2 linked regions of the Elephas maximus indicus genome follow. The protein of the gene in region 1 purifies or fractionates together with the protein of each later gene. This does not show direct contact. Links are inferred from orthologs where the notes say so. Each region holds a gene or a part of one and is shown on either strand. Other genes may lie near its edges.

What was found.
Region 2: the proteins of ZFC3H1 (region 1) and MPHOSPH6 purify together in Homo sapiens (affinity purification with mass spectrometry; 3 studies listed by BioGRID and IntAct, with this or other methods). This does not show direct contact. The link is inferred for Elephas maximus indicus from reciprocal best matches to the Homo sapiens genes ZFC3H1 and MPHOSPH6.

The regions. Positions count from the first base shown.
Region 1 is NC_064822.1:133,175,443-133,182,772, forward strand, and holds the start of ZFC3H1 (zinc finger C3H1 domain-containing protein), read right to left. Parts: upstream 3,011-7,330; coding exon 2,416-3,010; intron 115-2,415; exon of another isoform or gene 1-114. Other genes in the region: THAP2 (THAP domain-containing protein 2), read left to right, coding at 3,878-3,948. UniProt on the Homo sapiens protein: Subunit of the trimeric poly(A) tail exosome targeting (PAXT) complex, a complex that directs a subset of long and polyadenylated poly(A) RNAs for exosomal degradation. The RNA exosome is fundamental for the degradation of RNA in eukaryotic nuclei.
Region 2 is NC_064839.1:48,078,850-48,086,540, forward strand, and holds the start of MPHOSPH6 (M-phase phosphoprotein 6), read right to left. Parts: upstream 3,002-7,691; 5' UTR 2,979-3,001; coding exon 2,928-2,978; intron 2,844-2,927; exon of another isoform or gene 2,597-2,843; intron 2,289-2,596; exon of another isoform or gene 2,218-2,288; coding exon of another isoform or gene 2,209-2,217; intron 1-2,208. UniProt on the Homo sapiens protein: RNA-binding protein that associates with the RNA exosome complex. Involved in the 3'-processing of the 7S pre-RNA to the mature 5.8S rRNA and play a role in recruiting the RNA exosome complex to pre-rRNA; this function may include C1D.

The DNA.
Region 1 (7,330 bases):
AAGTTTTATCACTTCAAATTCCTTTTGATGTCAAAGTTGTACTTAGTTTAGTTCATACTTCCACTGCATGATCATAATAATGATATTTTAATTTTACAACTATTGAGTTAAAAAAAATTAGGAATTATTTTGTAACTTATTTCCACTTCCCTTCTAGATTATGGAAGTAAGTCACAGAACAACTCTATTGCAATATCTGTAAAATCAAAATGTCATTATTATGGTCATTCAGTGGAAATATGAATTAACTAAGTACAACATTCATATCAATGGAATTTGAAGTAATAAAGCTTTGTATTACAAATTTTATTTGCTCATGATATACAAAAGAGGCTGGGAACTATGTTTTCCTTCTTAAGTTCTTACAAAGAACACTACCTCTAGGCTGGATTAGTGATACTTCACCAGGAAACTAATGGGCAGGAAATCAAAACAAGCATCCTTTTTTAACAGCCGCATCTGCAAAAAGAAAAACAGCAAGATAGCTCACTTCTGAGAAGTTACAAGTCAATACATTGTAAAAATGAACATCCTTTTAAAATTTCAAAATATGTTCAGTAAGTTTAGTTCACCTCATTCTCTCAACATTCTTAGCTGTTATCCCAAATTTTAAAAATTAAGATTAAAAAACTGAAATCCAACAAAGTTAAATAACTAGCCCAAAGTCACACAGGCAGGCTGGATATTTTCCTGTACTTTTTCTCATCACATGGCTGTTCAATAAAAACACATAAGCTTGACAATTGGCAAAGGTATGACAAAGGCCCAAACTGTTATTGAATGAATGAACATAACTGCATACAGAAAAAGGGACAAAGGCATGAGGTAAGCAAGCCCACTCATCACCCCCTTATCTAATACAGAAAATACGTTTAAAAGTTTTGAACTCTCACAGTACTTCTTACACACCTCAATTTGAACTTTTTACACAAAGCTGTATTTATTTACATTTGTCTCCCCAACACAAACTACAAGTTTTATCTCTGTATCTCAAAAAGAAAAAAAAAAAGCACACACACACATTATATGCTTAAATAGCTCATCTGTGTTCAGGTTCAGAATTAACTGACAAAGCCATGTGGGCAGAGGTTTTCCAACCTTATTAAAAAAAAATCTTCTGTCTTTTAAAAAGATAAGTATCTACATGATTTTCTCTGAAACAATCCTGGAATACACCTAACCCAACTTTTGGTTGTAGAAGTAAGTTTTTTCAAAGCACTAGAAACAGAAGTTGCTGTTTCTTTCCTGAATATATGTTTTTACATCATGACATCATGACATGTGGGGAGGACCATCTTGCGCCTAAGTATTCCATAAAAATGACTCTGAGTGTCTTACAAATGTTATTAGTACACACTTCATATATAATAAATACAGAAAAAAAGCATTACACCACGGAAATTACATCCAGTGATGAATGAGCTTAGTAAACTACTTTTATGCAGTCCTCACAGAATAAGTCAAGACACAGTTCTCCAAACTCATCATAAAACAGCAAACCCTCAGATGATTTATTCCTCCGATAACTACTCAGTAAACTCCCTAATGTTAACGATGTCTAAGGATGAAACTAGAGGAGGTATAAATCAGATATTTTGGTATTTTGCTTCTCAACCTCTCCACCCTCCATACCCACTCCCACCCCCCATGGCTTGTAATATATTAAAATAAAAATGCTGCTAAATTTATTTTTCACTCTCTGGTTCACATTTGAGTTATATCTAAAAAGTGAACATAGGAAAAAGACGTTAAGGAGGTGAAACTTTCCAAAAAGATACATGTCATTCAGGTCTGAATTAATCCACTTGGTTAAGGTACCAGGTCTTTTTTTTTTTAACCACTTTAAAAGGCAGCAAAACCAAAAAACCAAACCCGCTGTCATCGAAAAGGCAGCAATGGTGAAAAATAAAGCAAGAAAAGTAAAAACAGAGTCACATGTAGGAAAGTAAGCTTATGCAGAAAAAACTTGACATTTTCAATGTCTGAAGTGCACTGTGACATAACCAACAGTATTTCCCAAAACTGTTTTATTTTTTTCCCCTCCAACAATCCAAGTCAACTTCACATAAAACTCAAAATTCCTGTATCAGCAAAAACAAATGCTAATGAAACGCAGACTTGTGACATACTATTATAAACCTGATTGTAGACTATCTTCGAGTCCACTAGTTTGGCCCCAATCCATAATACGTAAATATTAAACAAGCAATCTACCCAATAAAACAATCTTAAGAAACAACACAATAGTGTGGCACACGGAAATTAACAAACAAAAACTTACTTTATATCGACACATTGACAAATAAGCGGTTCTGATGGTTCAGGAAAGTTACACTCATTTCACAGACTTAGTAATGACGCTAAAGGGAACTTTAGGAAGTGACACACCCAGGCAGACCGCCACGTTAAGGATACAACTCTTCCGAGGTGGAGAAGACTCTCGCCAGCTCTGACTGCTGCTGAATCCGGAACCCGTTCCTCCTCCCAGGGGAGGTCGGCCCCCCGGCTTGCCTCCTCGCTCACCCCCTCCTCGTCCCCGACTCCAGCGACTCCCACCCCGATAAGGCCTGCCTCTAAAGCGGAAACGGTCCAAGGCGATGTGGCTCCGCTCCCAGAAGGACGGTCGGGGACTGCTTTCGGACAGGGAGCTCGAAGGCATCCGCACAGAAGGCGGGTGAGACCGGAACGGCTCTTTGGGTCGGTAGCTGCTGTGTCCCCTGAGGTGGCCCCGCTCCGAAGGGTGCCGCGAGCGTGAGAAATTCCTCAGCTGCTGTTGAGAAGAGCACGACGATGAGGAGGAGCCACCGCCTCCGCCGGATCCACCACCCCGGGTCGGGTGAGGCCTTCGCCGCGAATAAGGTAACAGCCCACCGCCACTGCTGCTGCTGCTACTCCGGCTCCGGATCTGGCTGTTATTATCGTCGTCGCTAATCTCCCCATCTTCTAGCTCCCCTTCCTCCTTGGGCGAGAGGCCGCTGGAGGCCGGGGCCGGAGTGTCTGCGGTCGCCATCCGGGGAGCAGTGCCTTCCACACAACCTTAGCCCTTCGTCCGGGGATCCGCCCGACAAGTGCCTTCCTCCTCGCCTCCCTTTCTTCCTAACGGACCCGGTCGGTGCGGCCTTACCCTACTCGGACACCTAGCGGGCTCTGCTCCCCAACTTCCCCGCACCCCAGCTCTTTCTCGCCGGACCGTCGCAACCCAGATCCCTTCCCTAGCGCCCCCTGGCTTCTCCGCGATCTGAGCTCTTCCGCCTGCCGAGAAAGGGGCTCTGGAAGTGGCTATGCTCGCAACGTCACTTCCTGCGACACGCAGGAAACAAGACTGCCTATCAACGCGATAATACGAGGACTTCGCGATGCTCGGTGGGATTTGGAGTATTTCTGTCCTCGCTGCACGGCTTCGTCCTTTCCGCATGCTGCTGACAGCTCTGCCAGACTCAGGAATGGGTCTGTTGGGTACGTGCCAGGGTGGGCGGGCCTGTTGTTAGTTACGCCCTTGAGGGAGCTTCGTAGTAATCGGAGGAGGAAGCACCTCCTCCTTGGATTGCTCGGAGGACTGCTGCCAAAGACACGGCCTTGTCGTACTTCTTTTTTGCCTACTGCGGGAGGGGGCGGGTTGTAGCCGCCATGTTGGTGAAGGCATACGAAGGCGACTGGAGCTCCAGGATGGTCGACTCTGATAGCTCCAGCCCGCCATCTTAATAAAGAGAAAGGGAAGGTTGGGCTTTCCCCACACCCCACACACACCCTTTCTCCCACCCTGTTCCCTCGGTGGACCCTTACTCTGCCTCACTTGCTCAGCCTCTGCCCTCAGAAAACATAGCCGCTATCGCCTCAGAACAGGCTTAAGACAACGCCGAATGAGGGGTAAAGGGAAATGCCGACCAATTGCGCCGCGGCGGGCTGTGCTGCCACCTACAACAAGCACATTAACATCAGCTTCCACAGGTAACCAGGGCAGGGAGTGGGGGTGAAGGAGACGGGAGCACCTAGTCTAGGTGTCATTTGTGTGAAAGGCACTGGAGGATCCCCCTTTCTACTGATAACTTCACTACCCAGCTAGTAGCAGGGAAGCATCATATTTGCCTTTTGTGTGTGTATTTTGCAAATCTGCAAAATTTTTCTCTCCCTTCGGGGAAGGTTTACCCACTTTCTGAAAAACACCCAAGTACCGTGCGATGATTACCTCTTAAAGTGACAGGAGGATATCTTAATTTTTCTATTCTTTTACTCCTTTATATTAGGATGGTCCTTGACACAAATGACGCCATGAGAGAGAGAGATCTTCTTGTGCAAGTCAGCAATCAAAGCCCACTGTGTTCTCATTAAAATTAGAAAATCGCTCACTAGCAGCATTGACATAGGAAGCTTTTAGATTTATAATAGCCACACGCAGTCTCGCTGGAGGAATTTAGTCGTTGATAGATATGGACTTAAGCAATGTTAATGAAAGTGCAAAAGATAAGCTTTCTGTTACTACTACAGTGTAATAAAAAGAATCTGAGTTTTATTTTTCCTTCTCTTGCTGCAAGAGCAATCAAAATTCTTTAGTTCTCTCAATGAGAACTGTAGGAAAGAACTATTAAACATTGTCTGGAATATAACAGGTACTCTGTAAATGTTTACCTTCTTCTGAAGCGCCTGCCATGGGCCTGAAGAAAAGAAAAAGTGAAAAGAGTTGTGTTTATATACCTCTTAACATATCATTTAAGAATGTAGAAAATTTTACCTTTGACCTTTTCCCTAGCGCATTATTACTAAACGTACCCCATTATTAAAAGCTACCACTTAGAGAAAAAAAAAAAAACCCTTGAGATGTTTCTGTTTTTAAACTACTTCATGCAAATACAGTGCTTCGTTCGTTCATTCATTCATCAAATATGTACCGAGTTTCTAATTGCCTAAGATTATGCTAGGGATCCAGAAAGTTTAGAGTATAATGAGGCGAAAAGACATAAACAATTAAGTGCCACTGAAGAGACATTTAGGGAGACCTTTTTTTTTAATGGGGCAGTTCTACTTTATCTTATAGGGTCGCTATGAGTCGGAATCAACTCGACGGCACTGAATTTTTTTTTTTTTAACTTAACCTTGGAAACCCTGGTGGCATAGTGGTTAAGAGCTACAGCTGCTAACCAAAAGGTCAGCAGTTTGAATCCACCAGGCGCTTCTTGGAAACCCTGTGGGGCAGTTCTACTCTGTCCTGTAGGGTCACTGTGAGTCAGAATTGACTCGACGGCAGTGGGTTTGGTTTTTTGTTTTAACTTAGCCTTGGAAAACCAAAGAGCATTTCTCAAAAGATGTAAAATTTAAAATGAGACCAAAGGACAACATAAATTTGGTCTTCTTTTATCCTAAAAGCACTTGAGAAATCATAGTTTAAAAAAAAAAATGGCAAGATAAAATTTGCATATTAAAATGCCCTCTGGCTGCAGTGTGAAAAATTAAAGTGTTACTTAAAGTGCTGGTCAGACATCATTAGAAGATGAATTTGATAAGAAAGGAGCTTATTGTAGAATGTTAGTTTACCGATTGCTTCCTTCACAGGGAAATCCTGTTAGTAAGTCAGCTGAAATAAACAGTATTTTTATTTGCTGGCACAACCAGCACTGGATTAGAGGAGGTCTTAGGCTGGTTTCTCTAGAGGAACAAAAGCAGTGAAGTGAATATATAAACAAGGATTTATTTCTCAAATAAATGGCTCATGCAGTTGTGGAGGCTGGCAGGTCCCAAATCCTGGTTAAGAGGTATCAGGCTGCAGGCTTCTGACTCACATGGTTACAGGAGCTGATGAACCCAAAATCAGCAGGTCAGGCAGAAGGTTGCTGGCTTTCGTCCCAAGAACTGGAGGTCAGAGAATGACAAGTAGGATGCTGGATCAAGAGAGGGCGAGCTTTTCCACAACATCCATATATACTGGATGCAGGCCACACCCCCAAGGAAACTCCCCTTTCAACTGATTGGCTGTTCATATCAGATCACACAATAGAGAATGATTACGTAATATCTGTCAAACCACAGAGAATCATGGCCTGGCAAGTTGACACATAACCATAATCACAGTCCACCCCTTGCCAACTTGGCATCTGTACACATCTTAAACCATACATAATCTCTAAATAAAGACAATTATAAAGTCAGGTTGGCCTAACATGATACAACTAACATGTACAACTGAAACCACACCGGTTCTCTTTATGTCTTATATCTTATAGTAAGTAATAGAACAACGGAGGAAAGAAAAAGCATTTGCTGTATGCACACATATATAATAAAACAAGGAAGAAATACTCAAAACAATTACAGTCCTCGTTTCTGCAACTGGTGATATGGTCATAGCTGTTATTTAGACCAGTCTTCTTCTACCACCCCCTCCATATTCCCTATGCTCTCAGGCACTGCAGCTGGTTGTGGTTCTTTGCCTGGTGGGGTGACACAAACCTTCATTCCTAAAGGGTCTGGGCCATTACTAGTCACGTTGGAATTGGGTTGCTGTAGTTTTGCGTTTAATCACAAGGCATGGTAGCATTAAGAGACGTCCTAAGGAATCTCTTATTTTCCAGACATACTCTTCTTTGACTCCCATTATGTAATTCAACCCTATTTCCCCTTGATAATCGGGATTAATTACATCAGCCAATACGTAGCCCTTTGCCTGTTGATCCAGAGGCATTGGGAGCCCAAAGTGGCTGGGTGGCATTATTAACTTCCAGTTCAATCAAATCAGTGTTGTGTTTCCTGGTGGGAGCATTCCTTAACTAAGATCTCAACCTGTAGAGCATAGGGTCACAAGGTCAGGAACCTAACATTTTGCAAGTGTGTCACTAGGGGTAGTGGTAAGTAGTGCCACTCCCATTTCCATCCCTTGATTCCTAGACCCAAGAATCCTGGCTATGGGAGAAACACCACCATATATTGGGCACTGGTTTAGAGTGTATACAGCCTCCTGGAGAACATTGCCCCAACCCTGCAAGGTATTGCCACCTAGCTGGTACCATAATTATGTCTTTAGAAAGCCAGCTGCTTCAGGGTAATAGGGAACATGGTAAAACCTGTTGCCATTGAGCCAGTTCTGACTCATAGCAACCCTACAGAACAGAGTAAAACTGCCCCATAGGGTTCCCAAGGAGTGGCTGGTGGATTCGAACTGCTTTTGGTTAGCACCTGAGCTCATAACCACTGCACCATCAGGGCTCCATGAGCATGGGCCCATTGCTGGACTTCATTTGCTGTGAAGTGAGTTCCTTCATCCGAGGCAATGCGTGGTGGATAAGGCATTCTTTCAGTCCACAGATGTTAGTTTTGGCAGAAGCATTGCGTGCAGGAAAGG
Region 2 (7,691 bases), on another chromosome or scaffold:
TTGTTAGGCGCTGTTGAGTTGGTTCCAACTCATAGTGACCCTACAGGACAGAGTAAAACTACCCCATAGGGTTTCCAACAAGTGGCTGGTAGATTTGAGCTGCCAACCTTTAGGTTAGCAGCTGAGCTCTCAGGACCATACAAATAAGATGTAACAAAGGGATTGGTCAGTTTTGGAATCACGCTAGGCTTATAAGAGAGCCAATCCCAGAACAGAGAGGGAATATCACTAACACCAAGAAGAAGAGCTGGGAGCATGTCCTTTGGACCTGGGGTCTCTGCACTGATACTGTCCTATACCCAGGAGAGAGAAAGCAAGAGAGAGAGAAAGAGAGCTGTTCCACCAGAGACAGCGTGACATGGTGAGAAGCTGTTGCAGAGAAATGGCGGCAGAAGACCCAGGAGACGGAGCGGTCGGCTGAAGCCCACAGAATAAGGCAGCTACAGTGGGTGTCCTGACCCATGGAGTGAGAAGGCTGAGTGCCTTCTGGCAGGAGGTTACCTGGCGGAGTGGGGTCAGAGAAGCTAGGTTCACCAACCTATGGAGTGAGAGATGAATGCCTTCAGGCAGAAGATTTTCTGGCGGAGTGGGGTGCCTCTGGGAACCTATCAGCAGAGCTTGTTGGAGAAGGGCAGAGGAGAGGCCCAGGGGCTGAGGGAGAGGCCGTCCTGTGGGCACAGCTGAAAAGCTGTCCTGACCAAAGAACTGTATCCTGAGTTGTTCCTGATCCTGATTTGTAACCTGTTACTTCCCTAATGAACCCCATAACTGTGAATATGGTCTGTGAGCTGTGTGTGGCCATTGCAATGAATTATCAAACCCAGCAAAAAAGCACAGAGTATTGCGGGAGGGATGGCTGGTGTCAGAATTGGTAAAAAGGTTGAAGGGTGGTATATCTGACCTCCAGCTCATAGCAATCAGCCTTGGGCTATTAATGCTGATGACTCTCCTCCCCCCTTGTGAAGTTAGATGAGGAGGTATGACGCCCCACTCCACTTTTACACCTCCAGTCCCCAAATGCTGACCAAATCAGAGGAGTTCAAGTACATCTAACAACAAATGAGTCAGGATTAACTCTTCAATCCTCTCATCTATGCTCCATACTTAGCTTTGGCTGAACTTTGGATCCTGAGTCTGTAGCTGCTCCACTTATTTTCACAGGACACTCTACGTAAAGTTTCTCTTGCAATCCCGTGGGTAAGTTCCTTCTTGTCAACAATCAAAATTGCTAACCCAAATTGAAAAACCTGGGTAACTTTCTCCCTTTTCCTTTGCTTTCAATGTTCAATTAAGTCTCCAATCCCAGCCATTTGGGTGGGAGTGGATAATTTTTTCTTAAAATTAATTTCTTCCTTCCTAACTCCACAGTCATATCTCTGATCTGAGCCCTAAACACCTAGTACATATTCATCCGGCCTATTCTAAGAGCCAAAACAACTTCTAAAATGTTTTCAAATTTCTGCTCTCAACACATTCAACTTCTCCAAAATCTTGTTGCTGTTAGTTCCCACTGAGCCAATTCCAACTCGTGGTGACCCCATGTGTGCAGAGTAGAAACTGCTCCATAGGGTTTTCAAGACTGTGACCTTTTGAAAGCAGATCTCCAGGCTTGTCTTCTCAAGTGCCTCTGGGTGGGTTCGAACTGCCAACCTTCCAGTTAGTAGCTGAATACTTAACCATTTGAGACAGCCAGGTACCCATCTAACAATAATGAGTGTTCAGTGACAAGAAGTATAGTGATTTAAACGGGTTCTGGAGGCAGACTGCCTGAGTTTGTGTCCTGTGTACACTACTTACTAGCGATGCAAATTTAGACAAGTTACTTACTTCTCTGTTTTATTTGCCTCAGTTGTAAAAGAGGAATAATGACAACTGTACCACCTCAGTGGGTTATGGTCAGGATTAAATGGGTTAATATACGAAAAGCACTCAGGATACTGCCTGGGACATAGTAAGGACTAAAAATGCTCGTTATTATTATTTATGTTTTAAGTCTTCTTTGTTTGCCCATCTCGATTTCTGTACACATTTTATCTACCCTTGTTATTTTTTCCATTTTGAAATTCTTGGGTTAAGATGACTTCAATCTCAACTCTAAAAATCAATTTTGCTTAAAGCTGGGTGACATAACTCACTTTCACCTCAACTATTAACATTCTTTCCATTCCCACCACCACTGCACTCATTCTGGTAACCATCAACCCTCACCTGGACCATCAGAACTTTTAACTCGTCTTCCAGACTGCAACTGTGTCTTCTGTCAGGCCTTCCTTCCACCAATGCATTCCCTACAGGGCAGTTAAAGTAACCTTTAAAAGTAAAAAGCACAGCCAATGATACTGTTCCCTGCGCTCAATAGCTTTCCACTGCTCTTAAGGCAAAAAAAAAAAAATCCTTAACCTCAACTAAAGTGCCATGGCTATTAACGCTGCCTTCACCCCCAGCCTCACTGCTCGGTACTTTCCCTCCAGCTGTATCACTGATTTATCTTTGGTTTCTAGGGAGGAAAAAGATTATTTTTCGTGCCTCTCAGATTTCTAACACTCCTTCACGCCTCTCCCTCAGCTCAGGTCTATGCTCACCACCTTCTGCTTACCCTTCAGTCTCTACTGAAGGGCCACTTTCCGCGAGAATTCCAAGTAAGTTCCCCCGGCTTCGGACACTTCCACCGTCCTACGCTTAGCACGCTGTATTCTCCTTGTTTAAGCGTCTGTCTCCCGTATCCGACAGCGGGTTTCAAGAGTCGGCCTCATTCACAATCTGATTCCCGGCGCCTAACGCAGAGCTGGTGCTAAGTGAATGAATGAACGCGAAAGCTGGGGGTCCCCCAAGGCCTTGCCGGCACCTCCCGTACGCACACCGCCTCGGCCCCGGCCAGGCCCGGAGGACCAGGTGCCCCTACCCCAGCCCGCCCCAAGTCCCCGCACCTTCATGCGCAGCAGGTTCTTGGACAACTTGGTCTTGTGTTCGGCCGCCATGCTGCCCCAGCCCAGCGCCGTGCTCCGTGCGCTGCGTGCGTGGCGGCGTCTTACGTAACGCGGCGTTCCCCCCCCCATGGCTCCGCCCCGTCCCTCGAGTTCCAGCGCAATCTGGGTCTTCGTCAGTCCCTTGTGGGACGGTCATCTGCTGAAGGAGCGTCGTGCTGCCCGCCGACGCTAGGGTGAGAGCAGCTTAAATGCCATGGGGAGACCCCAAAGAGCACGAAATCAGACGAGCGCGAGAGAGAGCCTGGCCCGCAGCTGAGGTCCCCACACGCGAGTGAAGGGTGCGTTCCTCAGGGTCTCAGGGCTGCCCGCCTCAGGGACCCCTCCCTGCCCCACGTCCTGGACCGTTGTTATTTAACAGGGGTCTTAGGCTTACTGTGTTCTGGACCACTTTCCATCTAATAGTTCATTTTACGTTTAAACTAACCCTGTGAGGTGGATATCATTCCCTTGTTGCAGTTGGGTAAACTGAGGTGTCAGGAGGTTCATTAAGTAGTCTGAAGTAACTGAGTGAGGGAGGTGGGTGTAAACCCAGGCAGTCTGACTCCAGAATGGCTCTTAACCACTATGCAAACAAATAAGATGAAAAACAATGTTAGGTTCCTTTATTAACTGTTGTTCTCCCTAAACGATCTCTTTGCTAAAGAGCGATAGCAACAGATGGGGAAGATGACAGATGTTAGACTCAGGAGCACAAGAAGACCTGGTTTTCATCTAAAGAATTGTAAGAACGTTGAAAAGGGAAAGTTATAATGCGAAGGAGCCCAGTAGTGCAAAGGTTAAGCTCTTGGCTGCTGACCTTTGCTAACCAAAGTGTTAAGATTCTAACCCACCCAGCTGCTCTGTGGAAGAAAGGCCTGGCAAACTGCTTCAGTAAAGAGTACAGCCTAGGAACCCCTATCGGGCAGCTAGGAGTCACAATCGACTCGGCACCTAACAACAGTTATAATGCTCTTAATTTATGCTGTTTGTACCACCTAAAGGCATCTTTCACACTGTTGGCAGGTCCCACACTTTGGAAAACATCACCCAACCTAATAGCATTTCAGCAAATACCCACAAAAACCCAGTGCCGTCGAGTCGATTCCGACTCATAGCGACGTGCATTATATACCATACTCTTGTGCTGGGTACCTCGTGTGTAATTTTTTTTTTTTTTAATTGGATCCTAATAAGAACTCTGAAGAAGATATTGTTATCATCATGATATAGTTAGGGAACCTGAGACCCAGAGAGGTGAAGGGACTTGCCCAAGGCCACACAGCTAATAAAGTGTTAGAGCTGAGATTTAAATAGTTTTTTGAATGTTGCTGATAAAAATACGGCTCTGACTTGCAGGTTACCTCAGTGGAGTAAATAAATGCAATCTGATTTGGTAAGTGGATACCGAACCACATTCATTCATAACTGTGTGTCAGACATCGTGCTAATGTGTGAGGTACAATAGTGAGTAAAAGCACATGACCTGTCTTTCCTGGAGCTGACATTCTGGACATAAATAAGTGGTGAGTACAATGGAATAGGGTGCTATGATTGAGTGACTTTTAGGGTTACTTTAGATGAGCTGATCTGGGATGGTCCTTGTCAAACGATAGTGCTAAGGCTTGACAGTTGAGAGGAAAAAAAAAAACCCTAATGTATGAAGAGTTGGAGATAGAGTGTTCTAAAAGGATCGACTAGCAACTGCAATGGCCCTGAAATGAGAACAAGACAGTTCCTGTTGTCATGGAGTTTATCTAGTGGGAGCAACAGCTGTAGATTACAGTTGTGATAAGAGCCTTATAAGAAAAGTCTGGAGTACAGTGAGGGTATAGCAAGGGCAGCTAATCATTCTGGCCTGGGAAAGGGAAGGACTCCCCTAAAGGTGTGGTATTTAAGCTGAGATCTGAAAGGAGAGAAATTAGCCTGGGAAAAGACCTTTCAATCCTAGATAATTGTGTATAAGAAGGCCCTGAGGACAAACCAGAATTCAACCAGTTGCCTTTCTTTGAGTTGGCAACCCTATATGTTGCAGAGTGGAACTGTGCCTCATAGGGTTTTCAAGGCTGTGACCTTTTGGAAGCAGATCACGGGGCCTGTCTTCTGAGGCACCTCTGTGGATTTGAATGGCCAACCTTCAGGCTACAGCTTGCTTAATAGTTTGTGCCACCCAGGGACTCCTGCCCTGAGGCCAGGAGGTACTTATTCAGCCCATGGAATAGAGAAGAGTGTCTGGAGTGGAGAGATGGAGAGACAGAAAGGGAACTCCACAGGACATGGGACTAGAGAGAAAGGCTGAGGTTGAATCAGGCAGGGCCTTGTGGGTTCTGTTCAGGATTTTGAAAGAAGTGCTATGGGAGCAGAAGTGAAGAAGTGACTCAGTCTGCAGTCTGCCTCCAAGAAACTAAGGTGACTCTGAACTTGTTCTTGAAGGATGAGCATATGTCTTGTCAGCTTCTAAAGAGGAAAATGGTGTTCCCAACAGAAGAACATGTGTGAACCTTTGAAGGATGCCAGAAGCTCCACACCCCTCTTATGGACCTCTGTTGTTACCAGTCTACCTGCATATTGGATTCTGATTGATTTTTCTGAAACATTGATTTTATCATATCACTCACCTGCTCCAGAACTTATAATAGCTCATTTTTGCCTGGGGGATAGAGGTCAAACTCTTCAACCTGCCATTCAAATTTATACATTTTATTTGGCAGTGAAAATGCTTATGTTAAAAACTAAGCCCCAAAGTCTCTTTTCGCTCATCAAAATGTAGTAAACAAGAAGTGACTTAAGAGTAATAGTGTAATAGCCTTTAAATTCCCTGACAGAGAAGATAACTCCTTGATCTCTCTTTGTTACTGAATTGTAGAACAGAAAGGATAGGTCTCACACTCAATAATGTGTTAACCTGCATTAGTTATACAGCCGAGGAAACATCGTTTCGGTGGAAAGAATATTTCTAATAGGTCTTCACACAATTCTGAGTCCTTTAATAATGGAAGTTGTTGGAAGTGTGAAAGCCAACAATACCTGCCATCTATCGAATCCATTAAGGAAAGGTTTTCCCAAGTCTCTTCACCCTTGGAGCAGATCATATTTAAACCTATGCTGCCCAGTGCAGTAGCCACTAGCCAAGTGTGGATATTGAGCACTTGAAATGGGACTGAGGAACTCAATTTTTAATTTTTGTTAATTTATATTTTTAAAAACAGTATAAAATATTTTTTGTTATACACAACTTTATTGTTTTGGAAGGACTTTCTTTCACTTTAACCTTTGAAAATTTGGCGTCCAAACTGAGATGTACTGTATAGTGTCACTATGAGTCGGAATTGACTGGAAGACAGTGGGTTTTTGTTTGTGTAAAGTGTAAAATACCAGATTTGAAAGACAAAATGAAAAATAAAATGTCAACTCATTAATATTTTTTCATATCAATTATATGTTGAATAGCAGTAGATATATTGGTTTAAATAAAACAGTATTAGAATGAATTTCACCTGTTTCTTTTACTTATTTTTAATGAGGCTGCTAGAAAATTTAAAATTATATGTGGGGCTTGCACTTTTTTTTTCTTTTTTGACAGCATTGATTTAAAGACTATAGTGCTTATACATGTCTTCCCAGTGTGGAAAGTAGAGTAGGAAAGGAGTCTGGGATGGGGAGAACTCTTATGCAAGGAGATCATGAAGGTGGTATATTAGGTATTACTTGTTTTCCTCTCAAGTACTAGAAACCAACAATGGCTTATTAAATAAATTAAAAAAAAAAAAAGAATTTATTAGAAGAATAAATAAAAACCAAGTCACTCATGGATTGATGAGAAGGCCTGAGTACAAGGCCAAGTTGAAAGCTTGGAGGTTCAAGCCCACCTAGAGGTACCTCAGAAGAAAGGCCTGGAAATCTACATGGGGCCGCCATGATTTGGAACGGACTCGATGGTAACTGGTAACCTTAACCAGTTGCCATCAAGTCAGCTCTGACCCATGGCAACTCTATGTGTGTCAGAGTAGAACTGTGCTCCGCAGAACTTTCAATGGCTGATTTTTCAGACGTAGATCTCTGGCCCTTCTTCCAAGGTGCCTCTGGGTGGACACCAGCCTTTCACTTAGCAGCTTAGCATATTAACTGTTTGTACCACCCAAGGACTCTTTGCTCTTAGGATACTTAAATTTTCAAAGTCCAGGAGAAAGTGGAGTCTTAGCTGAGGGAGGGCAAGATCTGATTGACAGTACTGGCAAGACTGCACACTGTCGGGGAGAGGTAGTTCCTTAAAGAGAAATTGGATGCTGTTATTCAAGAGCTAATCACGATAGCCCAAACAGCAACACCAACGATAAGTATCTACTTAAGGCAGGAAAGAGGAGAGTTCTGTTGAGACAGCCCCAGAGTACAAGTAATTAGATTATCACTTGGGAAACTCATGTGCAATATCAAATCTGTCCTCTCACAAAATGTACTTCTTCCTGCTTCCCTGTGTCATTCATTAGACAAGTATTTAGTGATTGCCTGCTGTACACAGATTGTGACTCCAGGTCATCCAGCCTGAAAATCTAAGCAGTGTAATACATTCTGCTCTTGTATTCAGTCATTTATCAAGTCACAGCAATTGTTTGGAAACCATGATGGCGTGGCGGTTAGGTGCTACGGCTGCCAACCAAAAGGTCGGCAGTTCAAACCCATCAGGCGCTCCTTGGAAACTCTGGGGCAGTCCTGCTCTGTCCTGCAGGG